Linked DNA regions of Lytechinus pictus. The protein of the gene in region 2 binds, or shares a complex with, the protein of the main gene of each other region. Links are inferred from orthologs where the notes say so. Each region holds a gene or a part of one and is shown on either strand. Other genes may lie near its edges.

Region 1 (8,000 bases), on a different chromosome or scaffold from region 2:
TATACAAATGTGTGAAGTTATACATGTACTACAGCTTTGGCAACTCTTTTATATTTAAATATTGTGTGAAAGAAATGGATGAAGAGAACAATGGTAGGCGTAGCTTAAATCAAGGTTCCCCAGAGCTATCTACCCTTTTTGGAAAAATTGGTGATGCCGAAAAAATGTCTCTGCCGGGAATCGAACCCGGGCCCCCAGCTTTGAACGCCGGTGCCTTAACCACTAGACCACAGAGACGGGTTAGTGGCTAGGGCGACCCCGATCCACTAACCCGTCTCTGTGGTCTAGTGGTTAAGGCACCGGCGTTCAAAGCTGGGGGCCCGGGTTCGATTCCCGGCAGAGACATTTTTTCGGCATCACCAATTTTTCCAAAAAGGGTAGATAGCTCTGGGGAACCTTGATTTAAGCTACGCCTACCATTGTTCTCTTCATCCATTTCTTTCACACTATATATATATATATCAGGGTTGGCGCGTTTTAAACGGTGTGTTTTAAAACATGTTTTAAAACGCGTTTTAAAACACCAGTTTTTTTTACAAAAAAAAACCTGTTTTAAAACACCGCATAGACTTGTGTGTTATAAATTTGCATGGATGTGTTTTTAGATGAATGTTTTTTTTTTTATACTGTTATTTCTTAAGTGGTGTATTATTTTCTTCTAACTAAATAAAACTCTTTTTCAATGCCACTCCTTTTCTCTTCTTTCTCTTTCTCCCTTTATTCTTTCTTTCTCCATTGCTTTGTTATGTTCCTCTTCTCCCTGTTCAATTGTGCACATCAATCCATATTAAGAATATTCTCATTTTAACAAACATATCTGAGTGTTGTGCTCACTTTTTGGACAGGGAAGGAAACATGAGCTCAAATACATGTACATGTAATAAAAGTACTTGAATGAAATGGAAGTGTTGCACAAGCACAATAATATTTTACAAATAGACTGTAAACCTGACATCATACTCTTGAGGTACACACAAAAGCAGGTATAAAACTTTGTGCTTCATAAAGATGAAGAAAAGTACTTTCTTTAAACAGTATAAGATAATCAGCTAGCAAACCTTAACCCTAACAATTCAAGGGGACCTTTATAATGTCCCCCTAAAAATGTATATGATAAATCCATAAACATGACAGGGCCACGGCATATCGTTCAAGACTATTTTGGGGATGCATGCTTGGGTATGCAGTTATGATATACACCACAAGTGCATAATCAGATCCCGAATTGCTCAAAAATGTGATTTCATGTATAAACCCAATGTGAGTTCTTGCCAAAATTGTGAGTTCTTGCCAAAATTTGTATCTGTATCATTATTTTTACTTTATTGTTAATGATTGGAAAATTATTGCCAAAAATTTCTATAAGTAATAAAAAAAAGGTTTAAAAATCTGTACATAAGAAATATAAAAAAGTTTTAGAAAACATTACCGGTAACCTAAATAGACTGGGCTATTTCGTTTCCTAAGAAGACTGAGGGTGCCCCCCCCCCACCCTTATGATCTGAGCCGTCGATCACGGGATCACAACAAAAATTGGCACGGCGTTACCCATGGCATAATCTAAAAAACTATAAATCAAATTTTGCATAAGTCTCATTGCTAATTTATGCGTAAAATCAAGTTTGCTCTATAAATAATGCCCCTGAAATGCTCATTTTTGGTTCATTCTTTGTAGGAATCTGATCAAATGTTCTTTAAAAAATTTCAAAATCACATTTATTTTTTATGTATTTTATTGTTTTTTCAATGGAAATAGTCAGGGACTATATTTTGACCATAAACAAGGTGAAATTAATTGATTTTAGTCAGTAAAGGAAAAATAATGAGACATTTATGAATTTTGGTTAAAAACACTATTTGCATTGGATTTGTACACGAATTCACGTTTTTGAGCAATTTTGGGTCTGCATGCACTTACAGAATGTTGCATAATTTCGGAACCGCATAGGTCGCAATTTTGGTCTCAAAAGTTGCGTGAGACTTGAAAAAGAAAAGTCTGAGTGACGAAGGGGGCTGAATCAGACTGGAGGGGTGCTGAATCAGCCCCCCTCCAATCTTATTAGGGCTAAAAAAAACATTCTATACTGATTTTTTTTTAATATACATTTGATCAGCATTCCTGAATTAAAAAAAAAAAAGTAGTTCAAGGTTTTTATTTATAGATTTGAACTGAATTTGAATTTCATGCACTAAAATTGGTATAATTGATTCAAATGAAATAAAGCATATTGATTTACCGGTAATGAAATTAAGCTTTGAAACCCCATGTATATCAATTTCTTCCATTGTGCAAATTCTTCTTGCCCCCCCCCCCCCCCCATTGACAAGACTCAATATACCTTGGAACTACATGTATATGTACATGTATTAGGAATGAAATGTCAATTTACTTATAAAGTGTTTTTTGTTGTTGTAGGCATTCAATTTCCATGATTTAGTGATTTGGGGGGAAATATGAACTTTTCTGTTGGAAATTCATTAACAAAATTGTGGTCATCTCTTATTTAAAACATACTGTAATAGTGTATAGTTTAATTGATTTACAGAAAATTGCATCATTCGTTGGAAATAAAATGTTTTAAAACAATAAAAAACGTTTTATTTGTTTTTTTTGATAAAAAATGTTTTTTATTACAACCCTGATATATATATATATATATAGGTCTCCTCATCATGGTTATAAAAAGTGCTCAGAATGTTTTATTTTCAAGTCCTTGTATCAGAATTTTCAGCTCGGGCAGCTCTATCGCATTTTGATTACTATCCTGTTGATTTATTTACTTGAACAAAATATTTAAAATGTCCAGCTTTTAGAACAGATATCAAAAAAAGGTATTCACCTTTGATCATAGATGAGGAAGAAGAAAAAAGTGCAAAAAAATAGGAAACAAACTAACGAATTAATGTGACATAATTTTTCTTCATTTCAAGGCGACTCTTTACATTTCATCATCGCTGATGGCGCTACAATAGAAAATACCGCTTGACAGCAAAAAAAAAACAGAAAGAGGAAAATAATGCCGAGCGTCTAAAATGCAGCTAGCAGTACAAGCTGCAGAACCGTAAACAAACATCTTGTGAATAATATCGCGCGCCCTCTTTAAGCAAAAGTTTACAACCACGATGACCCTGCGGTATCTACGTGAAGATCACGAGAAAATGCTTTTTTTTTCTTAAAAACACACCAAAGAGAAGTCAAGAAACGATCCATATGGTTCGGTAAGTGTCATAGCACAATTAGAAACATTATTTTAAAAGGAATGGCATAGTTATTTTAGTAAAAAGGGTGTGAAAAATTCGCGTGCACCATGTGCATATGAATCCTTCGCACGCGAGATGCATTGATCCCATGAGTGGGACCCGCATAGCTTTAGGGCCCCCTACCATAAAGACAACTCCGAGTCCGAACTAGAAAAAAAAGACTAACTTAGATCTAACTTAGAATTCTAGATCTAACTTAAACTAACGTTAGAGGCTGTTCATAATCATAAGAGGGTAAAGCCAATGCTTCTTCTTTGTTTGGTTTGGCTGGCTGGCAACCAGTCAAGAATGACTATTTTTGCCACTGCTTTTTTGACTTATTTGAGCTTTTTTGTTGAAAGAACTTCAGATTCTTTTCCTTTTCCTTTTTTTGATGGTTTCTTAAGTAACTTTAACTTACTTAGATCTACTGTCATCTTCTTTTCATTGTTTATTCTACTGGACCTATTTATTTTTGTTTTGTCTGTTTTTAAGCTTTCTTTCTTTTTTCCTTTTTTTTTTCTTTTCCTTTTTTTTGGCTTTTCCTTTTTTTTTTCTTTTTTGATGATCATTGCCTCTATACTTTTGGAGAATTTTGAAGGGGGATCCTATCGTCAATTTCCTTTATCATGCTTGTCAAGCAGAATGTTGCAGAGGTTTAAAGAAAAGACTTCCTTATGACCCCTCCACTAATTTAAAAAGACAGTCCCTGATGTGCGCCCGCTTAAGGGTTTTTCCCATCCTGTACCTATTTTGCACAAACTAGTTTAATCCATACATATCATATAAAAAGGACTGATGGTACTTATTTTTTTTATCGTGAAAATTGGCCGATAGCAATCGCGGTGGTCAAGATTGACCACCACTTCTGACTGCGATAGCATTCTTCTGTGTGCGGCCACCCTGTCTCCGGTGCGCGGTCCGATGTACGATTCCTATGGCGCTCCCGCAAGCTCCGTGAGGCACCGTGAGGCAGCTGCAATTCACCTTTAAACTGCGAGCGAACGCTGCTGAGTGTGCAGTTCCATTGCAAACGCATGTGAAAATAGCGAGCGTACACGCAACGGCCTCTCTTGGGGCGCTATATTTTGAGGTGTTGTTGTCGTATTTTTCATGTTTTTTACTATTTTTCGATCTCAGCATTGACTTCTGGAAAAAAATGGCGGCCGACATCGGCTCGCGAAAGTGCTAGTCTTTACCGTGGACATGTTTTCAAAATCCACGATCATCGGGAAAACCGTGAAAAATCCACTTTTTTAGACCCTTTGTTTCTTAATTACGATGTTAAGAAATACCGATGGTGATATTTTTGATGCGAGATATGGTGATTTAGGGAAGAAAATTTCACTTTTTATTCAAGATTTTGAATGTGAATGTGTACTGTACATGTTTAGAGTGTGTTGGTGATTTCAGTTGAATCTCCACTACCGTATGTCGCCTTACTCACTGAGCTAGTATGAATTGTTGAAAGCCATGGGTTATCAACCGATATTACGACTAGTCTTCTCTCCAAGAGTATTGGGTATTTATTTTTCTGACTAAATAGACTAAACCAATGCCATTTTGAATTACACACACTCGAAATTTTGACAGAATAAAGCCATATTTTGGTATGTATCCAACTTTTCCTTCTTAAATCTCTTAGATACATGTTAGATAATTCCTGATAAACCTTTTTAGTGGAGGGGACATATGGAAGTCTTGCCGGTTTAAATGCTACATTTGTAATTTGCTTTGTTCACAGGAAAGGTCAAGAAAAAGGGACGCAAACTGCCACATGATGGCAACAGCCAAGATGAGGACAGAGCGCTGTGTAAGTATCAGACTTGCACTTCAAATCAAGCAGGGACCATTGTCATTGTCATCCTGGATATCGCAATATACAGGACAATGAGTACAGTACATAACTCATTTGAGACACTTAGACCCCTCATTTGAGACACTGTACTTGTAGAGAAGAAGAGAAGATGACTCCTTTCTCACTATCATCATCTTCCTTATCTTCCTCCTCCCCTCCTCATCATTACAATCATCATGATCATAATTATGATCATCACCATAATCATAATCATCACCATAATTGTAATCATCACCATCATCATGTTCATAAGAATTGTCTTCACCATCATCATCATCATCATCATCATCAACACCATAATCATAATCTTCATAATCATCATCACCATAATCATCACCATAATCATAATCATCACTATAATCATCATCACCATGATTTGATTATAATCATTATAGTTATCATAATCATTATCCTCATCTTCTTCACAATCATTGTAATAATTGTAACCAATCACCATTTTTGTTTAAATGTTCTGCCAAGTGCAAACAGTACAATTTCCAATTAGGAGGTGTTAAAAACTTAAAGGGGAATGAAACCTTTGGAACAAGTAGGCTTGTGTCGAAACAGAAAAATCAAAGAATAAGAACAACAAAAGTTTGAGAAAAATCAGACAAATAATGAGAAAGTTATGAGCATTTGAATATTGCAATCACTAATGCTATGGAGATCCTCGATTGGCAATGCGACAAGGATGTGTGATGTCACATGTGAACAACTTTCCCTTTGATGGACTATAAAATACCCCAAAATGTCTCTTTTTGCTTTTTCTTATGATGATAGAAACTCTTTATCCATGAAGTATTCTTTAAAAAATCTGTATTACATGCCCTCCTATAGAAAGAACATATGATCCACTGATAGATGTGATAAAAGAGGCAGTTTAAGTGAAATATATACTAAAGTAATGGGGAGAGTTGTTCACAAGTGACATCACACATCTTTGTTGGATCTCCATAGCATTAGTGATCGCAATATTCAAATGCTCATAACTTTCTCATTATTTGTCTGATTTTTCTCAAACTTTTGTTGATCCGTTTCTTTGATTTTTCTGTTTTAACACAAGCTATCTTGTTCCAAAGGTTTCATTCTCCTTTAAGGATGATTAAATCTAGGATTCAGCGAGATGTATAATGTACATGTGTTGTTATTTATGTTCTTGATGTTCCCACATTTCTTCTTTGTCGCCATACTGTATAATTATTAGGGTCTTATATCTACCTAGTTGTTATGCCTGTTCCACATGGCTCTTATGATTGGACAGACTAAAAAAGTAATTAGATAGCAGTTGATTCAAAATGTTCAATCAATTTTTGATTGATTGCTCAAGCCGACATACATGTATAATGATACAGAACAGCAGTTTCATTTGCAGTAGGTTCTGTTCAGGTTCTAAAAATGTAGCAATATGTTATGATACCTGGACTAATTTTTCACGTTTGTTTGTTTAAGCTCCTCACTCAGAACATCATGAAATTCATAACCAGACACGGGCTAAATTTGATGAGCTTCTGAAGTCAGCAATGGACCAGGATGCTAGGTATTTCTATTTTATTATCAAAATAAAATACAGATGATAATGTGGCTATTTCTCAGTGTTTCTTTTGAAGCTAAACCTCTCTTATTATAAAAATTGAAATAATATTTATTACACTCTGCAGGTTAACAGAATATATTATTGAATTGCGCATTATAATTTTTACTGTGATATATTGATTACATTATTGTTATCAATGAAAATGATAATATCATTTTTATTATCATTATTATGATTGTCATTATCATTGCTATTATTTTATTACGGTACTCTATTTAGTTGAGCTGCCAATGATATAAATTGATACTGCAATTTTCTAATTGAAAACAATTTTGAATATTGAAAGTTAAGAAACATTCTTGTATGTTTTTTTGCTCATATCAAACAGATAGCTCTGTCAAGTTCTTAATCCTTATTGTCTTACTTTATGTCTAGAATACATTAGTATGTATGGTATTTATGCCATTGACAGAACTCTGGCTTATATACATTTCTGAGTTCAAAATTTCAACTTCTCAAAAGTAGTTTGTGTTAAATTCAATTCTTATTTAGTTATAGTTACATTAGACAATCAAATAGTGTTGAGATTATAAGTACATCATAAATAAACTTTTTATGAGAATATTATCCTATTTTTTAATTTCCTTAGTGGTTCTGGAAAAACTTCAAAGAAGAAGAAGAAGGCTAGATCACAAACAGCAGATGCTATGGTAAGTTCATATTTGAAATATTTGTATTGTTACCTTTGGCAGGATTAACATTGCACTTGGTAATTTTTTTTTATATGCATTCATGTCATGATATATAATACATAACAAAAAATTAACTTTTTATATTCAATTAAAAAAAAAATATCACACTTCATTTGTTGAAAATCAGAAATACAAATATTACAAATTTTACATCCACAACTGATTTTCAATAAGCTTCAGATTATACATTTTAGAAAGTTGTTTTTCTGATAGATTTTAGAGTACCAGTAACTGATATGGAGGATCATGTTGTAGTGGTTCTGACTCTTGTTTTAACATCAGAGAAGTGTGTGTTCGAATTTCACTGCGGCTTTATACTGATCTTTGGCAAGGCATCAATCCACACTCTCTTCCCAGGTGCTAAGTGGTTACCTAGTAAGAGGGGATATCCAATGTAGAATACCTAGCAATTGAGTTTAAAACTCTTGTTAGAATGCTAATTAGTGAGTGGAAAAAGTACATACATGTACATCATGTTAGGGTTAGTCAGTATCAAATGACAGGGATGATAATAATATATCATTATTATCAATAAAGTTTGTAGATACACTATTCTGATAAAAGTGTTATTATTATTAGTGTTGTTGTTATTATCATTATTATTTAGATTTAGGAT
Region 2 (7,710 bases):
AAAGTGTGCCGGGCCAAAATCCAAAATGGCTGCCAAAGCCCCCCAAAATCACAGTTTTGGCCACAACTTTTTTATTTGGTGGTAATTTTCTCTGGTTTTGGTGTCTATTCATATGTTTTTGGGGGCAGGCAATTTGTTTTTCCTATAATTAGTACTTTTAAACCATTATTTGTAGAGTTAAAAGGTAATTTTACCTAAATTTTCCCATTTTTGTAGCCTTTTTTCAGCCAAAAAGTAGGTTTTATCATCCTGGGGTTCTGGGATATTGGATGGTACGAGGTCAACAATAGCAAGCAGCTTCATGTAGCTATATTGCTTTTATTCCTCCACTTTGGGTTTTACTGATATTTGTGAAATACATCTTATCAAATAAAAGAAAATTCATTTATCCATAGGGGCTATACGGTGTACAATCGGCACTGTACATACTACAATGTATATATCCATGCATTGACCACCATGGCATATGACAAGGCCTGTATATAAACTATAGTGTCATAGAAATGAGCTTCAAAGGTTTAGAATTAGATTGTGAATTTGATTCCTTGTCAGCTAGCAACGTAAATTACACTTACATGTAAATATCACATACAATGTATATATACGTACATCACATTTTTATCCATATCTTCTTCATTTTGAGGCTTTTATTTTAACCTGGTTCTGGTGTCTAACTGGACTATGTTTATGGGGTCAGGTAACTACTAGTATCACGGTAACGCTGATCAACAGCCAATCAGAATAAAGGATTGCATGCAAGTTACCATTAAGTTAAGTTAACATAATGGTAAAATTTTATGCAACGGGGCCCAGAATAGCTACAGTGTAAATTACCTCTCTCCGCCCCCTGAATTAGCATATTTGACAAAACATGTCCTCAATTTCTGAGACAAAACAAATCTTCAATTTCTGAGGCATCTAATTCTAAACCTGAGAGCTCATTTCTATGACACTATAGTTTATACAAGCCTTGTTATCTGTCATAGTGGCCAATGCATTTATGCAGTGCAGTATGTATGTACAGTACATTGTACATACTGTATAGCCCCAATGGATAATTGACATTTTTTTATTTAATAAGATATATTTCACAAATATCCATAAAACCCAAAGTGGAGGAATAAAAGCAATATAGCTATATGAAGCTGCTTGCTATTGTTGACCTCGTACCATCTAATATCCCAGAACCCCAGGATGATAAAACCTACTTTTTGGCTGAAAAAAGGCTACAAAAATGGGAAAATTTAGGTATAATTACCTTTTAACTCTACAAATAATGGTTTAAAAGTACTAATTATATGAAAAACAAATTGCCTGCCCCCAAAAACACATAAATAGACACCAAAACGAGAGAAATTGACCACCAAGTAAAAAAGTTGTGGCCAAAACTGTGATTTTGGGGGGTTTTGGCGGCCATTTTGGATTTTGGCCCGGCACACTTTTTTCTCGGACCCGAGACAAAAATTATTGTCATTTCATGTTGAGATACATTACAAGGAATGAAAAAAAACTGTTGTCATATTGAAATTACAAAAAAAGTATTTTTGACCCATGTATAGCCCACTCCTATTATTATTTTATTTTAATTGTTATTATTATCATTATTATTATTTCCTGCTGCAAAACTATAAAACCAATCATATCATTTCTTTGTGATTGAGTATATTGGCACAGCTACACATGTGGGGCAAGGGGAGGGGGGGGTGTACATCCTTTTCATCACAATATTGCTCTTTTAGCTTTAATTTTCTGGTAAAATTTTCAGGAAAATTCAAAACTGGAACTCTCTTTGTCTTACGAGGTATTTTAATGCCACAGAATCAGCACGATTTTGTAAGATTTGGGATGTGGTGCTCCATAGACACACACATAATGACACAGTACACACTATAGGGGCCTGTGGACAAGGGTAGATTCAAGACTCAATAGCGGGAAAGTTTGAAATTAACACTTGTAATTGTCAATGATGAATGAATAAAGTGTTGCAAATGACCTAAATAATACAAAAAATCATGAAATTAGGATACAATAAGTTGCAGAATCGAGATATTATTGATGATTTGAACTATACCCAAAATGTGCAAGAGCACCACCGTAACTCGGGAGGACGTGCGACGCCGGGGAAGAAGGCTTTGTTAAACATTAAACATCATGAGTATTGATGAATTTTATATGTATTGATTCGTTATACATTCCTAAATTCGAAAATCGACACGACTTATTTTCCGAACCATCCCTAAATTAATTATTGTGGCCTAAAGTCACCTTATAATTACGAGCCTGTCTCTTACGATTTTTTTTGTAAAATTTGACGAGCGCCCTCTCGCAACGTAGTGGTGAAATTAACCAAGATGGCGCGACACATATACTTTCCATTGACTGCGTGTAACGTGCACGTACGTGAGGCCTAACTGTTAAAATTTGAGGTGAACTGAAATTTTTTTTTTTTTTGCTTGTCAAATTTTCAAAAATGTGCCCTCCCCCTTTTTGGGGAAAACCTGATCCGCCCCGGCCCTGCTTTCTTATTAGAGCTCAAACAGTAAGGGCATCCTTTCAAATGCCAGTCCTCGTTCCCTGTCGTTTTAAGCCCTAGCCTAGCCGGCCAAGCTTTGCCTTTGTCGGACTCGGAGACGGAGTACGAGTTTGGCCTTCCCGACGTCCGACTGAGCAGAGACACGCAAGCTGGCCGGCTGACCTCGGGAAGCTCCGGGGTAGCGTGCAGTCAATGCCGCCAGCGCACACAGCCACTTTTCGCTTCGAAGTGGAGCAGCCTAACTAAGATTTTCAGCCGCTAAGCACAACGTTAGCGTCTTCACAAACAAAACAATAGGGCATGAGAAATTGAAACCATGTCAAGAGAAATTACCGATTGTTACCAGTTACAAGCAAATCGAAAAAGGTATTCTTGTTTTCTCAGCCGAGCTTGAGACAGCTACTGAGCTAGCGAGACTGGCGCCTTCTTTCATCCATTTTTGTAAAGCGTCCATCACAACGCATTTTGCAACGTAGATGGCAGCATGCAAAGGCGGATTCAGGGGGGTGAAACTCCGCTTCTGCATCCGGTCAGAATTGGGGGAAATTTTGGAGGGTCAAAAGTGCACACTGCTCCCATTTTTCGTATACAAGCCTATGGACACCGCCACTGTCTTGGTACACCAGCGAAATGAAGGCGTGGTCATGGAACGTCCTTCGCGCATAGCGTAAAATATGTAAATTAGTATTTTGTCACTAATTAGCATAATGCGCGACCTGATTTAATATCGTTGGTGTCTGTGATTACATCATGTCAGATCATTCGTTTTTTTCCTCCTCAGAGTTTTATTATTCATCTATTTTAATGATCTTTTTGTTATTGCCTGTTAGATTATTACTGCATCGTTGCTTTGTTTTAGCTGCAAATGGCCAGGGTCTTTGCTAAAAAATATTACAGAGGAGGTTCCCAAAGAAAATGTTGCCATATGCGATGACATCTCTTTATGTTTCTGGAGCCCTTTTTTCTTTTTATTGCAGAAAACGAAATGAACCTTTTTTTCATAATATAAACAAAGATAATAACAAATCAAGTTCTTTTCCATAATTTTAGTCTCCAATATAAGTCCTATTATGAATAGCAGTCCTCGGAGCACTTAATTTTAAATGGCGACTTCTATGTCAAACATCAATAATCATGACCTAGGTATATACCATATTTTAGGGGGGAGGGGGTTCTCAAAATTAAATAGGCAAGAGAGCAAACCAATCGTAGGCTATAGGGTATTTCTTTTTTATTTTCAACTGAAAATGTATCTGGTGTAATTTTCATATGGAAAGAAAAAATACATTTTATATGTATGTTTCAAAAATTTGGAGAAATAATTATAGCCCCCCCCCCCCCCCGTTGCCCGTCATGAACAGTAAGGTCTTATAATTGCTTCTTTCAAAACAAACTGAACTTTCACCCCCCCCCCCATCTCTCTCTCTTTCTGTCTTGTCTCTCTCTCAGAAACTGACATAACTATATGCATACAAGCAAATAATTCTCCTGTCATTTTACTTTCTTTCCCACTCTTATCCTTATTTTTCTTGAATAATATTTTAATTGACTGCTGTTTGATCTCATGTAACAGTGGCATCATCACATTTCAGTACAGTGCAACATCTTGTGCCATTTGTGCATAACAGCTCAGCAGCAATACATCATCACAATTAATTGATAAATGAAAATTACCAAGATAAAAAAATTCAATTCAAAATTAACATGTTTATTAAGGAATGCATTTTCTAAAACATTGACATTAACATAAAAAAAATAATTAGCATCTACCAAGCATTAAATTGTATTTTAAAAAATGAAGGCAATGCATAGCTAAAAAGGGCTGTTACTGGGTAAGGGTAGTATGGGGTGGGTATATAAATGTACAAAAATAGGATTAAGTACATTTTTCTACATTGTACAATGTTTGTTAAAATTTCATTCAAAGGATCTCGATGAGCCTATAGTTAATATTCCATAAAAGAGCATAAAAACCTTTGATATTCGTTTATTTTCTTCCACAAAAGTTTGTCACTCAAAAAAATTGGTAAATTCCTTTCAAATTTGCTGACAAGAAATAGTCTACTGATGTGAGAGCACTCCTCATAAGGGGGGGGGGGGGTGGGACACAATGCCAGAATCCTAAAGAGTGCCTTCCCCAATCAATACATTAGCGAATCATTAACAAAATTTGATTTGTCTACTGTCACTGTGGTTAGAATTCAATCTATTTTTGAAATATAGTCTATTTATATATTATTGCAGTGGTAGCCCATTTCACATAACGATAAATGCAACTTAATAACCCTACATAATTTATGAAGACTTGCAGTGGCGTACCGTGGGTCACGGCATCGGGGGGGCACCAGCAAAAATTTTGAGACCGTTTCATATCTCTTCTTGGCACTTATGTTGTGATACCAGTACTTAAACAGCTTAGGAAGTGGGAAACCTGCATGGTAAAAAAGAGAAAAGAACATAATAAGCTGTAAATTATTTTTACTCATCTAGTCCAGTTTAGTAAAAAAAAGATGTAAACTCTATTTTATATCTTCAGTGATAAAACAAGTTTAGCACATGCAGTCACTTTCGTCCCACATCCAGATAAATTCATATATCAATATAACTATCTACAGTATGTTTTGAAAATAAAGAGTGCAAATTAATTCAAATATTTATCAGAATTTTGTGATAACTGTAATAATATCTTGGGTTTTTTATGCAAATGCATGTATAGACAGGAGATATGGATAATTAGTATGCAGTGTTAGAAATGGAAATACTGGTGAATCTGAATTCAAACAAATATTAACTTACAATGGAACTTTAACATTACATGATATCGCATCATGTTTCAGCACAATTGGCCATAGCCCACCCCCTCCCAAAAAAGGGGAAATATTCTTTTATTTATTTATTTATTTATCTTTTTTTTTGGGGGGGGGGGGTGATGAGCTTGGATACAGCCTGTATATTATCAAAACAGTAAGCATACCTTGCAATTTTTCCATTCAGATATCCTGTTCCTCATTAGATTGTAACTAACACTTGCTGATCGGCATGGTTCCCAATTTTGTACTTCTGACTAGGTGTGAACTGCTAAGAACTTGGTCCCATTGGATCTGCAATTGACAATTTAAATTTGAGAGTTTTAGAGATAATAAAATTACTCTTCTTAAACAATATTTTTGAAATTTCCAGCTGCCCATATCCCAGGTCTATGAATGAATATTCCAAACTAGAACAAAAAATTTATCTGGACCCGAAACTTCATTCTCTATCACATAGAGACATAGGCCTACCTCACTCTGTTTATAAAAGTAAAATGATTCCAACCACATATTTCTACAGCTGTATATAGCTGAATCTGGTCTATGCTGGGCCTGTATAACTTAAGAATCACATCACATTTGAATGAAGTAAACACTAAGAACGTTTTCAAATTACCACCCAAGGCCGGGCCCAGGGTATCCTGTTCAAATAGACTTGATTTAGGTCTAGGGTAGGCTATGCCATTTCATTCAAATCTAAGACTAAGACAAGTGACACTTAACATAACAGACATTAATGCTAAGACAATCGTATTTCAACACTGATTATTCTGAAGTAAAGCGTTCCTGAATAAAAGAAACTGCTGAGAATTATACTTTTTCATATGAAGATGAAATAGAGGGGACGGACTAGGCCTATATAAACTTCAACTTTCAAGCTTGAAGTTTGGGCCTAGTCCGTCCCCGCTATTTTCATACCCCATGACTACATCGACAATCTCGCTAGCCGGCTAGCACCGGCGATATCAAAGGCCGGATCCCGCGCGCTCTGACCATATCCCTACATTGACCTAAATTTGAATAGGCCTAAAATCGACAGTTTGTCGTTACTAAAAAACAGGAGGTCGGAAACAAGTCCACATCTACCCCTGATAATTGTCTAATCACAATAAAACTGAAATAAAGGTTTACTTTGGACCTACATGAAGCATTCCGATGAATGTCTAGATCTACGACAAACTATAGACCCCTAGTCCTAGATATACCGGTAGTATTTTTGATAAACTCAATGATCACACTTATTTGGAAGTCAGCTCAGGCAAAAGAAATATTGAAATTGAGGTTTACATAGTGCGTAATACAGGATGAGCCCCGAACCCCGGCAAACACATTACAATTTGCAAGTGAGATCAAAACATGAAAATGAGCGTAACTTACTTTTATTCCTATGGAATGTCATTAGAATAGTATTGATGTTCCCTCCAAGATTTTCCGCTCCAATGAAGTTCACTCAGAAACCATGATTTCGAACATCAATTCTATAAACAGATAATTAGTCTAGCTATTTCGTTTCAGAAACTTCAAATTTGCAGAGTCCAAAAGAACGACACTTCGCACAGATATCGTAGGGAATTGTGGGACGGAAAAAAATGTTTAATGCATGAGTACATGAATAAAACATTAGCGTTTAATCCAATCATACAAGTGCATTATGCGTATTTTGACGTCATTCTCATGAATAAAACATTGACCCTCCAAAATCATCCTTCAAATTGTCCGCCGGCAGCCATGTTGGCTATGTACAAAACCTATGGGAAATAAAAACGCGCGGAAAGAGTTCCCTCTCTAGCTCCCTTCGGGAGCTTATACGTAAGATCGTATCTCTGTGGGCGGATTCTTCTTCTAGTACGGTACCGGTACTTTGGGCTATCAAGTAAAAACAATGACTATTTTTTGTTACCCGGTTTTGACTTTTGCCACTGCTTTTTTGAGTTTTTTTTTCTTTGCAAGGATGAATAGCTTCTTTCTCCTTCATTATTGTTTTTCTATTCTATATTACTTTCTTTTTTCTTTCGTCTTTTCCTATTCTTTTCTTTTTCTCTTTTTTTCACTATTTTGTTTTCTTTTCATTTTGTCCCCTCTATTTTTTCTTTACTGCTATTTTGCTTTTTATCTTGTCTTTTTTTTCTTTTCTTTGTTTCTTTTTTTCTGTATTTTGTCTCCTTTTTCTTTTTACTTTTCTTTTCTTCTTTTTTCCTTTTCTTTTTTTTTCTCTTCTATTATTTTTCTCTTTTTTCTTGATTCTTTTTTATCTTTCCTTTTCTTTTCTGTCCTTTTTTTGCTTAATCTATGATTTATCTTATTGTAATAAATAATCCTTTTTTGCCTTTGTTTTGAATGCAGGAATTTCTGTCTGTACCTGTCTTC
Region 3 (7,700 bases), on a different chromosome or scaffold from region 2:
ATTCATCACATAGGCTGTTACTCTTGCGAGAACAGGATCCCTTTTGGTGATTCTTCTGACTTCATCGGCTTCAACTGGTCTTGTGTCAATATCCAGCATGTTGATTTGAACTGGCGGCTGCTCATCCAGCTCTGCAAGACTCTGATGCGACCACACTGTTTGATCATCTGCCAAGGGTAGGCGTGAAAGGGCGTCTGCATTCTGGTGCTGTTTACCTTCCTTGTATATGATGTCATAGTCGTAGGCTGAGAGGATCATGTGCCACCTGGCTAACCGTGCAGAGGCCATGGGGCTTGCAGGTTTGGTGTCACCGAATATGCCTAACAGCGGCTTGTGGTCTGTGACGATTGTAAATCGTCTTCCGTACAGGTACTTGTGAAATTTCTTTAAACCGAAAATGACAGAGAGTCCTTCTTTTTCATATTGGGCGTAATTTGCTTCACTTCTAGTGAGCGTGCGTGATGCAAATGAAATGGGCTGCTCTAGACCGTCTGTTCCTACATGGCTGAGGACTACACCTAGACCATAGGGGCTTGCATCACATTGCAACAACAAAGGCTTACTGGGGTCATAGTGTGTCAACACTGTGTCACTCTGAACCAGTTCCTTTGACTTCTGGAAGGCTCTTTCTTGGTCTCCTCCCCACTTCAGGTTTGGATCTGCTTTGTTCCGGTCTCCCTGCTTCTTTGGCACTGAAGCATACTCTGCCTTCAACAGTGTTATTAGTGGGGCGATCTCTTTGGTCAAATTTGGTATAAACTTCCGATAGTAGCCCAGAAGTCCTAGGTATGCCTGTAGTTGACTCTGGTTCTGTGGTCTTGGAGTCTTCTTTATGGCTTCTATCTTGTCCGGGAGTGGGCTAACTCCATGTTGATCCAGCTTGTGGCCAAGGAACTCCACCGAGTCCATCATGAACTCACACTTTTCCCTTTTCAGTCGAAGTCCATTACTCTCTAGGCAATGCAGTACAGCTTGCAAGTTGGCAATGTGTTCTTCATCTGTCTTCCCGCTAACTATAATATCATCTAGATACGGGCGACACATTGGTATGTCAGCTAAGAGTGACTCCATTGCTCTTTGGAAGAGCGCAGGGGCTGTGGCTATACCAAAGGGTAACCTAGTGTACTGAAAAAGTCCTCTGTGTGTATTTACTGTGGTGTACTTCCTTGCTTGTTCATCAAGTTCTATCTGGTGGTATGCATGTGAAAGGTCAAGCTTGCTGAACTGTTGACCTCCACCTAAGTCCTGGAGCATATCCTGGAGCGACGGAATTGGGTACCGTTCCACCCTTAGAACTTTATTTGCTGTCAACTTATAGTTGCCACATATGCGGACTTTACCATTTGGTTTCTTCACCACTACGATAGGACATGCGTAATCAGCAAACTTCACCGGCTCAATCACGCCTTGGTCCTGTAGCTCATCGATGGCTTCGTCAATTTTCTGGCGCATTGCATATGGGACTGGTGCAGCTTTGTAGAACCTGGCTTTATCTCCATCATCTTGAGGATGCACCTTTGCCTGGTAGCCTTCAAGTTTACCAACTTTTGAACAGTCAAACACTTGCTTGTGCTTCACTAACATGTCTTGTAAGGTAGCTTGTATCTTATGCATGGTTTCTGGATTGTTGGAAACATGTGTTTGAAGGTTGAGGCGATTCTGTAGGAATCTGTAGATTCCTTCTGGTGCGGCTTGCATCCAGTCTCGGCCCAGTAACGCAACACCTTTCTCAACTACAAGAAGTGTCAACTTCTTTGGTGGTTGGCTGGCATCAAACTTGACTTCTACCATTGCCTCACCAATGATTGGTACTGATGACTCTGTGTATGTTTTCAAGGAAACATTTGCTTGCTTCACATCAGCTCGATGTCCCAGTTTATGAAAATCCTGCTGCGACATCATCGTCCAGGGGCTTCCTGTGTCTATTTCTAAGTTAACTTGGATCCCATTTAGGCTTAGGCTAGTCTGGAACGGTTCACTGTACTTTGCCATCTTGTTTACCATTCCACCCCTAAGGTGTCTGAGTTCTCCACTAGGCATGTTTTCTATCAGTTCTGCACCTTCCTCACCATTCAAGTGGTTTGCATATTTCTTTCTAGATCTGTATTGCTTGATCTTCTCACACTGGCTGCGGGTGTGACCCACTTGAGAACACTGATAGCATTTCTCATCCTTAAATCTACATGCTGACTGGCCATGATCACCTGAACCACATCTCCAACATCTTGAGGCAGGTTTTTCCTGTTTCTTTTGGCTTGGCTTTTGAGGCTTTTCCTGCATGTCCTGCTTCTGTCTTTGATGTGTATTTTTACGCGATGAGGACACAAATGGTTTATGCTGGCTTCTGTCCTGCATCTTCTGAACTGTAGGTGACTCGGTCCCTTTACTTAATACTTTGAGCTTTTCAACATCTCTGTCTGCTACCTCCATAGCTGTGGCGGTCTGAAGTGCATGTTGTAAGGTTAGGGACGACTCACTTAACAGCTTGCGTTGAATTGCGATATCCCGGCAACCCACTACTAAGCGGTCCCTAATCATGTTATCTAATTCTTTGAAATTACAGCCTTCGCTTAATTGGCGCAAATTTGCTACAAATTGCGGTATGGACTCATCTTGCTTTTGCACACAAGTGTAAAACCTATAGCGCTGAACAATTTCGGTAGGCTTTGGTACGAAGTGTGACGTAAGCGTAGTTTTGCATACTGTGTATGTTTGATCTATTGGTTTACTCGGCTGCAAGAGAGCTCTGAGAATGTGATAGCTCTTGCTACCAAGATTGGTCAGAAATATTGCCCTTCTTTTCCCATCTTCCTGTATATTGTTAGCATCAAACCATGCTTCTAGGAGTTCAAGCCATTCGTCAAAATTGTACCCATCACTCAGTTTGGGCACACTACCTATATGTTGGCTTGCCATAATTTTGATTCATATGTTGTACAAAATTCAGCTGTTAACTTGATTGTGACTACACAATAGGTAGCTGTAACACTAAGTATATCAAGACTTATTGATCATAAAATATGATTTTGATCTTGCAATTGCGCGTAAGCAAAGCTTATTTTCTTAGTACATAATGCCTATACAAAGCATTATTGTATACCTGAAACAAAGCTAGAACGACATATATAGTCCAACGATTGACAATACTATATCACTACACACAACTGGTATATGTGGGACTACTCCCATGTCGTGGGGCTGCAGTTATTCAATTGCATAGCAAATATAGGCACTGGGTCCTGGTCCTAATTGCTAAGTCTTAGACTATAATCGATCAACACTTTGGGCCTAAGTTATAGTCCTACAACTGATTAGACCTAGTCCTGTTTTTTTTTTAGACCTGGACCTTGTTTGGTCCTATAACTCAGAGACCCGGTCCTACTTTAGACCTGCTTATAAGATTATACCTGGTCCTGCTTTTTAGACCTGGAACTTCTTGTTGGTCCTAAATTTCATAGGCCTGATCCTACTTGCATAGTCTTAGACCAGTTGACTGGACCAATTTGCTATATGACTACGGCATAAACTCGGCTTAAGTTTATCGTTATTTACTGTATAAACATCAGATCTCAATTCAGTCTTGGGCTTGGTCCTGATGGTTCTAGACCTAGATCTATAATTGCTATTTTAATGACCTAAATCTAAATACTACCTAATTAATTGGACCAGTGACAGTGTAACAACTCACCAGGGCATGTACGGTACTTTGTTACATTAGACCAGATCTATGTTTCGACCAATTCTTTAGTCCAACACGTTGCAATTACAACCATATAATGTATTTTTGGACCTGGACTAATTTGTCTTAATCTTACCTTTAGTCTTTGATTAAGTCACGGTACATAATAAATAAATGCTGTGTTTATTATTATTCATAATAAGTCCATCAAAAAGTCTTTAAAGTCTTTGATGTTTTGTTTCTGTTTCATTCATTAATTATGCAGCTTGGCTTGAATTTGTATTGAGTCTTCTTGGCACGACAACTTTGTCCTGGCTTGCAGACTCAAAACTTGCTTGGCTGGACTTGACTAATGAATGCAACACCGTCTGGGCTGAACCTGGCAAAAGAGGTCTCGGCTGGGTCCTCGATCGGCTTGGTCCTTGGGCTCTGTTGCTTGCTGCTGGGCTGGGCTGCTTTGGAGACTTCGGGCTTGAAGTTGGCTCCAATTTGCTATGTCAATAGTCCAATGTCAACTACCAGTAACATCTAGGGCTAGGCAATAATTTACAACAATTGTCAATGTTATGCCTATGCTATGGGCTGTAGACACTACATAACTCGGTCTCAACATAGGCTGGCATGAGCGGTGTGAGGCTTCTGCAAAGCGTTCATTTCAACAAGCCACATTCATCCGTCATCCAAATTACGGCTAGGCTGCGATTGACCGATCACACTATGCTCTGCAGTGCAGTGTATCAATGACAATATCCGCGGCTAATTTCCAAAAGCTATCCGCAATGCATGTCACTTACTGGAAATCAAGTCCAATCTATACTCTCATTTTTATCCCTGCATCCTCGTCGCCAAATTGTTATGTTCTCGTGTTGTGGTTCTTAAAGGGATACATAATAATGAGATAATAGCACAGCGATGTAGAGTAGTGTCTGCCATTTAATGTTACGCCATCTTGCTCTCTGTCGCGCATGCGTACAAGGCTGCTCATGAAGATTGCGTCATTAGTCTTCAGTTCATACATCACAATAACATAACATAACATGAATTTATGGCAAGTAATAAGTGCATGGAAGAGCTGAAAATGTCTTAATTATAGCCGTGACATTGATCTGTTTCCAGAGAGAGCAGTGCACACGAAAAATTTATTTCCGTGGCAGTGCCACTGCACTTCCAGTATTGCTGCCATCTACGTTCATTAATCATGCATTTTTGTGAACTAAGCGGCGAAACTGTTAAAACTAGTCTTAGACAAAAGGAGAGGTCTAACGATTAACGAATTGCTTTCGTAAGTTAACATATTGATGTAAATGTGCTGTATTTGTATTTTCATTTGTAAGAAATTCTCGGAATATAAAGAAATTAACCTTATCGAAATCTTAGTCCGTATAATTCTTGTTGCTAGGTACGCCAAATCTAATTCAGTCCCACATATTATAATATGTGCTGTGTGAATATCTCGTCTAGTTTCCCCGCACTCCCGGGTTCATTACTAACCCGGCCCAGGAGCTCCCGGAGACCAGGAGTCGACCGTGCAAAACGAGGGAGACACTGGGGTAGATTGGGGTCTCAATAGTAATCTTGATAAAATGTGGAAACAGAAATTATGCACTTGCCACGATTATAATGGATGAAATGAAGGTCTATTGTGACACACAAATCCTGACATCGAGGCACAGATCGACTGGAACCTCAAAAAAACGAAAAGTTCTGTCGGAGTGTCGCGATACCTCTCCTTCTGTAAAAATTCAAAACAAAATGGCCGATAGAGACCGAGGCTATATTTTGTTTTTTTGAGGTTCCAGTCTATGTGTTGATGTCAGGATTTGTGTGTCACGATAGACCTTCTTCATCCATTATAATCGTGGTAAGTGCATAATTTCTGTTTCCACATTTTATTTTTATCAAGATAATTGAGACCCCAATCTACCCCAGTCCTGTGTCTCCCTCGTTTTGCACAGTCCACTCCTGAGCTTAAATTAAATTAATACCTCATTCAGCGTAAGGAAGTACTTACAGTTACATGTATGCCTGGTCAAGAATATAGATTCACTAGATCTACGGTTTGAAAACGAGTGAAATTATTACATGACTGTATTTGTGTGTTTTCTATCCAACTTTTGTTATTGTTTTGTACAAAGTTCTTAGATTCTCAATTCAAACACAATATTTTTTTAAACTTCCAAGTTAGTCAGATTAACTAATAACTTAAAGGACAAGTCCACCCCAAAGAAAAGTTGATTAGAATAAGAAGAGAAAAATCCAACAAGCACAACACTGAAAACTTCATAAAAATTTAGATGTAAAAGAAGAAAGTTATGACATTTTAAAGTTTCGCTTAATTTCACAAAATAGTTATATATGCACATCCCAGTAGGTATGCAAATGAGGGAACTGATGACATCACTCACTCACTATTTTGTATTTTATTATATGAAATATGAAATATTCTGATTTTTCTCGCCAATGTACTGTGAAACAAATTTCTATTTCGCCCTGAACTTGTGGAATTACCATTGTTTAACATTTTATGGTTCAGTCAAGTTGGTCCATAGGCCTATTGTCAAATCTGTAAAAATTGAAATATTGTATAACTCAAACAAAAACAAAAGAAATAGTGAGTGAGGGACATCATCGATTCTCTCATTTGCATGTGACTAAATTGTGCATATAATAACTATTTTGTGAAAATAAGCAAAACTTTAAAATGTCATAACTTTATTATTTTACATCCGATTTTGATGAAATTTTCAGCATTATGCTTGTCTGATTTTCCCAATTTATTCAAATCAACATTTTTCTGAAGTGTACTTGACCTTTAAGTCTTTCAGCAATAAATTCTGAAAAGATGTGAGTCTAATTACTAAGTAGAATTAAAAAATAAAATTGTCTCATTTGTAAAAGTGAAAAACAATTTTTTTTGTATATATAATTAATGTAATTAATTAAATAATTTAGAGTCTAAGGTCTAAGCCTTAAGAAATTTATTATTGTGTGACCATGTATCTTTGTGAGGTTGTGCTTGTGTGCATTATAAATTTATGTGAGATGAATCATCAATCAAATCATTTCTAAAAAAATCAACTTCTTTGTTTGGTTTGGCTGGCAACCAATCAGAAATGATTAATTTTGTCATTGCTGTTTAGCTTTAAAAAAAAAAATCATTAGCTTCTTTCATATTTTTTTTAGTTATATTCGTTTCTTTTTTTCTCCTTCATCTTTCTTAATTCTTGTCTCTTTTTATTATTATTTTACATTTACATATTTTTTCCTTATCTTTTTTTTCTTCTCCTTTTCTTTTTTTCTTTTGTTTCTTTAACTTTCTTTTCAATTTTTTTCTCTCCTGTTTTCTTTTTGTTTACTTTTATTTTGCTTTTTTAAAATGTTTATTTTCCTTTTTCTTTTCTCTTCTTTTTTGTTTTTAGACTTTTATTTTCTGCAGGATATAGAAATTGGTAGATCCAAATATATGTATAGAACTTTAATTTCTGTTGTAATATTTCCACCAATTATATTTCTTTATATCCAGGTTTAATTTCTGCTTTTATTGACAAGTTTGTTCACTTTAAATGCTCTTTTTGTCAGGTAGAGAGATGGCAGAAGTTCATGTTATAGGGCAGATCCTTGGAGCAAGTGGGTTCTCAAATCAAAATCTTTATTGCAAATGGAAAATACACACTGGTAAGCATGCAAGTAGTTAATCTGAAGTTTGTTTATGTCCTACATGTAGGCCTATGCTATGGCTTGCTTGAATTTGTTTGTTTCATTGGTTGCTCTTGGCTACCTAGAGGTCTCTTTGATGCATGCTTTGTGCCTCTTGTGTGTTTTTGTTTTACCTTAACCTAATTGAGAAACTTGCCAATCTGTGGAGATGTTTCTCTTACAATTGCTGATTTTTTTTCCTTTGAATTATTATAAACTGTTATTGTTATGTTATCACCATCTGTTCATTAATATGTAAGGAGGGTTGGTTGGTAGGACAAAAATAGGGAAAAGTGTGTTTCAGATCACTCCATAATCAAAACTC
Region 4 (7,992 bases), on a different chromosome or scaffold from region 2:
GCGCTCGCATTTTGATTGGTGAGTAATGTATATATACCTCAATAATTTCCTCTATAATAAGCAATTCTAAAACAAACTACTTAAAATCCCCTTTTCATGACATCGCAAATTGCGCTCTCATTAATTTGTTAAAGATAGTAACCCATGCATCCTATTCATAATTACAAAAGTGCTATATCCATTTTTCAGGAATTAATGTCAACAAATGTCGAGCTGTCATTAGGCTTATTAGATTAACATTAACATTTTCATGAATTCCTAATATTTAAATTGTCCTTTTTTTTCAGATGGAATATCTCTCGCTTAGGAAGAGGAATAGAAGAAAGTCATCATTTTCATATGATGACAAAATGTCCTTAGAATGTCCAGATCCTAGATCAAAATAAAAATAATTAAAATATCAGCTTGCGCTTCGCGTTCAAATCATTTATTAAGAGCGATCCATAATATCCACTTCACAACTTTCCTACATAGTGCTTGAATTGGTGCTTAAATTAACGCTTTTTCAAATAGGAATATCAAATATTTTCAGCTCGCGCTTCGCGATCACATTTTGATTTTCATGATAAAAAATATATTTAGAATGCCCAGACACTATATTCAATCACCAAAATTGGGCGTTTTACTCAGTACCAACTTTTTATGGAGCATGGAGGAAAAGAAAACATTTACCAACGAGCTGTTTATCCATCCATATTGTCATCTAATTTGCATAAATTATGTATAGATTATGCATGAATTATCATATATTATTCAAATTCGAACATAAAATGGTTCATTTTCCCAGTTTATACCTGATTCCCAATTAAAATTGTGGCACAACTAAAATTAACGTTCATTATGACATGAAGAGAAAAGCAAATACAGATAGAACAGTTTGTTGGGTAGAACTATACAACTTTTCATATTATGCTAATTACAATTAGTATAATTATAAAGTTCAAGTTGTATCAACTAAATTTATTCTCCTAGCATATTCATGGGGATTATAACTTACAAACGTTGGGCCCACATTAAAAGAAAATTTTAGAGTTTCCTAAACGCTGCGATGCCACAGTTAGCAAAACAACTTTTATATTTACGAAACCTCTTCTGCTCTTGGAAATATTAGAGAAAGACAGAAAAGGGCATTAATGTAGTTTTAATATTGATATATTTTTTGTTCTGGTTTCTGTGAATGCTTATTTTTTTAAGCCATGTTTTAGTCAAACGCGTTACTTACAAACGATGTAAGTTAAGGAACCTGCACTGCAAACATTCTTGTTTATGCTTAGTTCCTACTTTGTACTATTATTATTATTATTATTAATGTAACATTATATTCTGTCAATTTATTTCTTGTTATGCATGGAGAAAATAAAACATTGCTATGCATGTTACATGCAATGACGTTATGGGAATCAAAGCCTAACCCTATTTGGAGCCGCTAGAAGGTACTCCCCACCCCTTTTTCAATATCAGAGTGATATAATTTTTATTTGAAATTATCATTATCATTTCCACTGATCTTTTGAAAAAAAAAGACAGAAGATACATTGTTCTAAAGATTGCATTAAAAGACGTCCTTGTACATTGAAGCCTATATACCCTATACTATTTTACAGAGCTTGTCAAAGTAGCCCCATCACTTTCCTTTGACTCTATTAGTCTGTTTAAAATGTCCTTTTAATAACGCCCCTTTCTGTAAAAGGGGCGCTTTAGCGGAATATTAAATCAGCTTCTATTTTCATTAATTTCCTAAGATAAAGGACGCATAAAGATTAAATGAAGAGAAATCCTAAAAATTAAAGTCTATCCCCATCGAAACCTATAAAAAGTATGAACATGTTTTTTGGGAAAGGGTGACTATGCGTGCTGCAGCGTTTTGAAGATTTTGGAGTTTGGACAACTGGGTGTTGGGTAAATTCAAATTGTAAAGCAAGGCATTCTCGAAATCAAGTCGTGAAGACATCAGTGCATGAACTAATTTTTTATTGATCGCACTTAATAAAGAGCTGAGATTTTTCATTATTATTACTTTGAGTGTCATGAAAAGAGGATTTTAAGTAGTTTGTTGTATAATCAATATTGAGACATACATAACTCGCCAATCAAAATGCGAGCGTGCAGTGCTAGCTGATACGTTTTGACAATCAGACCTGAAAAGGGTATTTTTAAAACTTTATGGAATACACGAAAATCATAGGTACCTGATAAATCAAAATTTGCGCGCGCGCAGCGCGAGCAGAAATGTTAATATTCAGATAAAAAACCTGACATTTTTACAGAGCACTTTTTAAACATCAATATTCACACAAAATAATGAAAGTTCGATTTCCGAGGTAGAATATGTTTTGTAAATTGACTTCCAAACTTGATATTCAAACTCCATATTGAACAAAATATGAAAATCACCTAACAGGCAATGCGAAGCGCGAGCGAAAATTTTATATAGCTATAGTGACATGAAAGAGATCTTTTTATTTTCCAAGTCTTCCCCTCATCTTATTTTATTCCCTCGTCTTCCTCCTCTTCTTTTTTCTTATCTCTTTCCCCCCTTTTTTTTTCTTTCCCTTTTCCCCTTTTTTTACTCCGCCAATAGGGGGGGGGGGGGCCGGGCCCCTCGGCCCCCTGGATCCGCCTATGAGAATGATCAAAGTACCACAAAGTCCTGCAAGTTCTGCCACTCCGTTTTTGTTATACATTTTGTTGGAGGATGCCCAGCATTTAGCCAGCGGCGTAACAGGGGTTGGTGGCCAGGGGGGGGGGGGGGGGGGGGGGGGGCAAGAGCCAAAAATTTCCCGGTCATATCATGGTATGAACAGGCGGAATGGTGTAATAAGGCGGCGATTTTGAGAGGGCCAGATATTGCGTATCGGACAGAATTTATCTTTTAAAAAAAGTTGCGAGCGAGCAAAATTTGACATTTTTAATGCAAAATTTTTTTAATGCAAAAGATTTTGACATAAAATCTTCCATTCATTTGTTTTTGTGGTCTGTACGCCACTGTGAACAGGATTATTTGCAGCAGTAGCGAACGTGATAAAGTAAAAAAACGATGCATGGGCGCAGTATATGGCGCATGTGCTAAAAAGCTGCTTAATATAAGCCCCGAGCGAGCGAAGCGATAATCTAACTTGGAGATATTTTTTGACATTATATTCAGTAAATAAAATCATATCCTACAAGTTCAAGTTCAAGTTTAAGTTTATTCAAACCAATCAAAACAAGAGACATATTACACAGTTTAACAAAAATTAGAATATATGATAGGTTTGGGACCCCAAAGAAGCAGAGCTTGTGAGAGGGGCCCCTTGTAAAGTACATTACAACAGTAATGAGATGAAAAAAATATTTACAATGATAATGTAGAGTAAATAAGAAAAATACATACAAAACACACACACACACATGGTTTATCAAGAATCAATTTAAGATATTTTGTAATCTTTCAAATAAATATTTTCGACATGAATTTTCAAATATGGGCAGTGTTGGACTGGATCGAAAGTTTTGTGGTAACTTATTCCATTCTTTTGTACAAACTATCACAAAAGAATTCAAAGCAGTATTTGTTCTTGTAAGTGGTTGGTGGATAAGATTTTTCTGCCGTGTATTGTACAAATGTACATTTGAATTAACAACAAATGCATTTTTAAAAAATGAACAGCTTTGAGAGGATAGTGATTTGTACATAAATATCAAACAATTGAAGGAGACAAAATCACCAGGAGGCAAAATCTTCAATTGCAGAAATAGAGGAATACTTGGACATCTGTAATTCGAATATGTTATGAGCCTCATAACTTTCTTCTGAAGAACTAGCAGTTTGTTTAAATGGTTCCTATATGTCATACACTTTTCCTTTTCTCTTTTGCTTTTCTATCCTCCTTTTTTTTTTCTTGGTTGTAGAAGTTTTGGGGACCATGGCCCAATTAACCCTTCCATATTCATATACGGCAGTGCTATGCGGTTGGGGTCCAGGGCAGAGCCCCCGGAACTTCTTGATATCACAGCCATTTAAACTTCGCAGATTGCCGCTATTTTAGATCAAATCGCGGGTATATACAGAATATAGCTTTTACACAACACATTTATTCAACCCAGTTGAACCAAATATTTTGAGGGGGCAAAACATAGCAATGTGGGGAAATTGGTAAAAAGTCGCCAGCTAGCAAAGCGAGCTGGAAAAAAAATGCCCAATGAAATTAAATTCTGTGATAGATTTTCCATTATATTCAGCAAATAACAACTTTCATTGTTTCCATTCATTTCATTATAGTTGTCTCCTATAATTTCTTTTATTTCCTTTTGGGTGTGGAACCAAGACACCCCCCCGCGCCTGTACGCCAGTGATTGAAGCTTAGTAAAGTATAATGTATGAAGGGTCCCTACAGGGCCGGGGGGGGGGGGGCGTTATAGAGCCATTTGAAAGTTACAGATGAAGAACCCCTACTGCGTGGGGTCTCCGGGGGCAATTAAAGCCCCCGGTAGCTTATTTGCAAAAAAATAAGCAAGATAGCACAATTTTGTATGCAATTCACTCTTTCTTCCCGCTCTTTACTTTCAATCCTCGGCAGCCAGGTCGTGTTATTAATATTTTTCTTGTCCGGCCCTTTTCTTTGTTTTCCAATTTAGCTTTTGACTTATTCCATTCTACCTTCACTTCCCGCTATTGTTTGCCATTTTGTCATCTTTTAATTTATTTCCCATCATGCTATTGCATTACTTTTATATGCCTATTTCAGGGATGTTCTTCTTTCGTTCCTTTCCCGCTTTCCTAATTCCTTTTCCATTAAAAAAAAAATCGCTTCGTTTTCTTTTCACTTTTCCATTTCCCTTTCCTTTTCCTCCTTCCCCTTTCCCTTTGTTTCTCCCTCCCTCTTCCTTTTCCCCGTTTTTTTATTTTCCGGGTGAAATCTGCCAGGAGGGGGGGGGGGGCAGCTTGCCCCCCTGCCCCCCGCCTGTTACGCCACTGCATTTAGCACAGACAGGAAAACACTTCTAAACTTAAAAGAAGACAAGGAACTGCAATATTTTTCTGAGCATTTAATGATCAAGAACCTCAACAATTTACCATTTCCGTCCTGTTTCTACCTGACGTCGAATTAACAGATTCCTCCAAAAACGACCTAAACCGACTTGTTTTAAATTCTTTCATAAGATTCACCTCTCTCACGTCAAAATATGAAATATGAAATGCTAATGATGCAGTATTAAACTGCGGATCTCCGATACAGCGGAGGAAGGATACAGAAGAAGAAGAGGATACCTGCCGATATATATATCCGAACAGCGGATCGGAGGAACTGAACGAGAGCTAGAGCTAGAGGGGGAGATGAGAGAGAAGTGCGGCGCAACGGAGGAATTTCGAGAATCAACAGAGATTCAGATCGTGGTTGAATCAAGATCGAAGGCGATGGTATGTCATTATTTACGAATCAGTAGATGGCTAGTTTTTGAGTAGGAGATTAAGTTCTGCTAAAAAATCGAAATCATCCACAAAACCATGGCATGAGTTTACATTTTACGCTAAAAAACTTGAACGTTAAGGTTAGACTTGGCGCCGGCGATCGCGACGACGTAAACAAATTTCCTACGTTGTCCCACCTATATATTTCTGTGATGTGATGGTGAAGCTAGCCAGGAGGCTCCAACTTCCCACCCACGGCTACATCTCAGCCGGCAGCCGCCGACTACAGAATAATTGAAGGCATGGCGCATTCAACAAATAACGTTAATTTACGAAAAATTAATACGAGGACTTACAGAACACTCACACAACATGCGAGGTTAGTAATACTAACCTCGACCTCGCACAACGCATGTCATTTCATATTATCATAGGCCTAGGCCTAATGAATTTTGACGTTTTCATTCATCACACGAATGTGAGAATATGAAACATGCCTAAATCTTCAATATACTAAATTTAGTCATCTTAATCTTATAATGTAATCTAATTTGGCTTAACTGCAGAATACCCCGACACTGCTCACTACCCAATCGTTGGTCAGCCAACACAACGATGTCAAGACCTATAGCTATATACTAATTCAATGGTATATAGCCTAGATATACCCATACTATTATATACGTACATGCATTACTGGTACTACTACTACTACTATACTACGTACGTACGTACGTATGACGGTACGTACGAGCAATGCATCCAGGCCATACGTAATGACCTTTGCCCTTTGACTACTACTAGAGCTATAATTAAACATCGTTGGGTGCGCTGCTAGCCAACGACCCACGTTGTGACGGTACGGACGGTGCAATATAATATTCAAAACATCGTTGGCTAACCAACGACCCACGATGTGAAGGTGCAATAGTACAAGATTAATACACTCTTTTAAATTACCTACTACTACTAGCTATTGCTATACATCGTTGGGTGCGCCGCTAGCCAACGACCAACGATGTGACCGTGCAATGCAACATTCAAAACATCGTTGGCAAGCGTTTCAAGGTATGGTTTCACAAAACAGTTTAATATATGCATATCCTGGTTAGTGAGGTGATCGATGTCATTCACTCTCTATTTCTTTTGTATTTTTTATACATGAAATATTTTCATTTTTTCTTCATTAAAATATGAAATAAAGTTTTAATTCCCATTGAAGGAATTCAATGGGAATTGAATTCAATGGGAATTGAATTCAATTAGGGTTAGGGTTAGGGTTAGGGTTAGGGTTTAGGGTTAGGGTTAGGGTTAGGGTTAGGGTTAGGGTTAGGGTTAGGGTTAGGGTTAGGGTTAGGGTTAGGGTTTAGGGTTAGGGTTAGGGTTTAGGGTTAGGGTTAGGGTTAGGGTTAGGGTTTAGGGTTAGGGTTAGGGTTAGGGTTAGGGTTAGGGTTAGGGTTAGGGTTAGGGTTATATTCACATCGTTGGCATCGCCGGCAATGTTGGCCTCTACAACAGGCATATTCACATCGTTGGCATCGCCGGCAATGTTGGCCTATGTAAGATACATTCACATCGTTGGCACTGTTGGCATCTACTACAGGCACCAACACATCGTTGGCATCGCGGGCGCTGTTGGTATATACATACTAAACATACATTCACATCGTTGGCATCGCCGGCAAAGTTGGCCTATACTTACTAAAGATACATTCACATCGTTGGCATCGCCGGCAATGTTGGCCTCTACTACAGGCATATTCACATCGTTGGCATCGCCGGCAATGTTGGCCTATGTAAGATACATTCACATCGTTGGCACTGTTGGCATCTACTACAGGCACCAACACATCGTTGGCATCGCGGGCGCTGTTGGTATATACATACTAAACATACGTTCACATCGTTGGCATCGCCGGCAAAGTTGGCCTATACTTACTAAAGATACATTCACATCGTTGGCATCGATGGCAAGGTTGGCCTGTACTACAGACACCAACACATCGTTGGCATCCTGGCCGGCGCTGTTGGCCTATACGTACTAAAGATACATTTACATTGTTGGCATCGTTGGCACTGTTGGCATCTACTACAGGCACCAACACATCGTTGGCATCGCGGGCGCTGTTGGCCTATACATACAAAAGATACATTCACATCGTTGGCATCGCGGGCAAGGTTGGCCTATACTACAGACACCAACACATCGTTGGCATCCTGGCCGGCGCTGTTGGCCTATACGTACTAAAGATACATTTACATTGTTGGCATCGTTGGCACTGTTGGCATCTACTACAGGCACCAACACATCGTTGGCATCGCGGGCGCTGTTGGCCTATACCTACTAAGGATACATTCACATCGTTGGCATCGAGGGCAATGTTAGCCTGTACTCTACAGTACAGACACCAACACATCGTTGGCATCGCGGGCAATGTTGGTCTACATAGGAAACTACAGATATGATCGCATCGTTGGCATCGCGGGCACTGTTGGCATGTACTACAGACACCAACACATCGTTGCCATGGCGGGCAATGTTGGTTTACATAGGCAACTACAGATATGATCGCATCGTTGGCATCGAGGGCAATGTTGGC

Evidence for each region.
Region 1: centrosomal protein of 290 kDa-like (region 2) and jouberin-like share a complex: the UniProt entries of both Homo sapiens proteins name them as parts of the tectonic-like complex. The link is inferred for Lytechinus pictus from reciprocal best matches to the Homo sapiens genes CEP290 and AHI1.
Region 3: centrosomal protein of 290 kDa-like (region 2) and B9 domain-containing protein 2-like share a complex: the UniProt entries of both Homo sapiens proteins name them as parts of the tectonic-like complex. The link is inferred for Lytechinus pictus from reciprocal best matches to the Homo sapiens genes CEP290 and B9D2.
Region 4: centrosomal protein of 290 kDa-like (region 2) and coiled-coil and C2 domain-containing protein 2A-like share a complex: the UniProt entries of both Homo sapiens proteins name them as parts of the tectonic-like complex. The link is inferred for Lytechinus pictus from reciprocal best matches to the Homo sapiens genes CEP290 and CC2D2A.

What each region holds. Positions count from the first base shown.
Region 1 is NW_026974140.1:16,630,507-16,638,506, forward strand, and holds the start of jouberin-like, read left to right. Parts: upstream 1-4,986; 5' UTR 4,987-5,053; intron 5,054-6,547; 5' UTR 6,548-6,618; coding exon 6,619-6,635; intron 6,636-7,281; coding exon 7,282-7,342; intron 7,343-8,000. UniProt on the Homo sapiens protein: Involved in vesicle trafficking and required for ciliogenesis, formation of primary non-motile cilium, and recruitment of RAB8A to the basal body of primary cilium.
Region 2 is NC_087263.1:11,081,169-11,088,878, forward strand, and holds the start of centrosomal protein of 290 kDa-like, read right to left. Parts: upstream 3,015-7,710; 5' UTR 2,867-3,014; intron 1-2,866. UniProt on the Homo sapiens protein: Involved in early and late steps in cilia formation. Its association with CCP110 is required for inhibition of primary cilia formation by CCP110.
Region 3 is NC_087251.1:29,709,285-29,716,984, reverse strand, and holds the start of B9 domain-containing protein 2-like, read left to right. Parts: upstream 1-4,691; 5' UTR 4,692-4,961; intron 4,962-7,258; 5' UTR 7,259-7,266; coding exon 7,267-7,354; intron 7,355-7,700. Other genes in the region: uncharacterized protein K02A2.6-like, read right to left, coding at 1-2,916. UniProt on the Homo sapiens protein: Component of the tectonic-like complex, a complex localized at the transition zone of primary cilia and acting as a barrier that prevents diffusion of transmembrane proteins between the cilia and plasma membranes.
Region 4 is NC_087261.1:31,142,022-31,150,013, forward strand, and holds the start of coiled-coil and C2 domain-containing protein 2A-like, read left to right. Parts: upstream 1-4,979; 5' UTR 4,980-5,401; intron 5,402-7,992. UniProt on the Homo sapiens protein: Component of the tectonic-like complex, a complex localized at the transition zone of primary cilia and acting as a barrier that prevents diffusion of transmembrane proteins between the cilia and plasma membranes.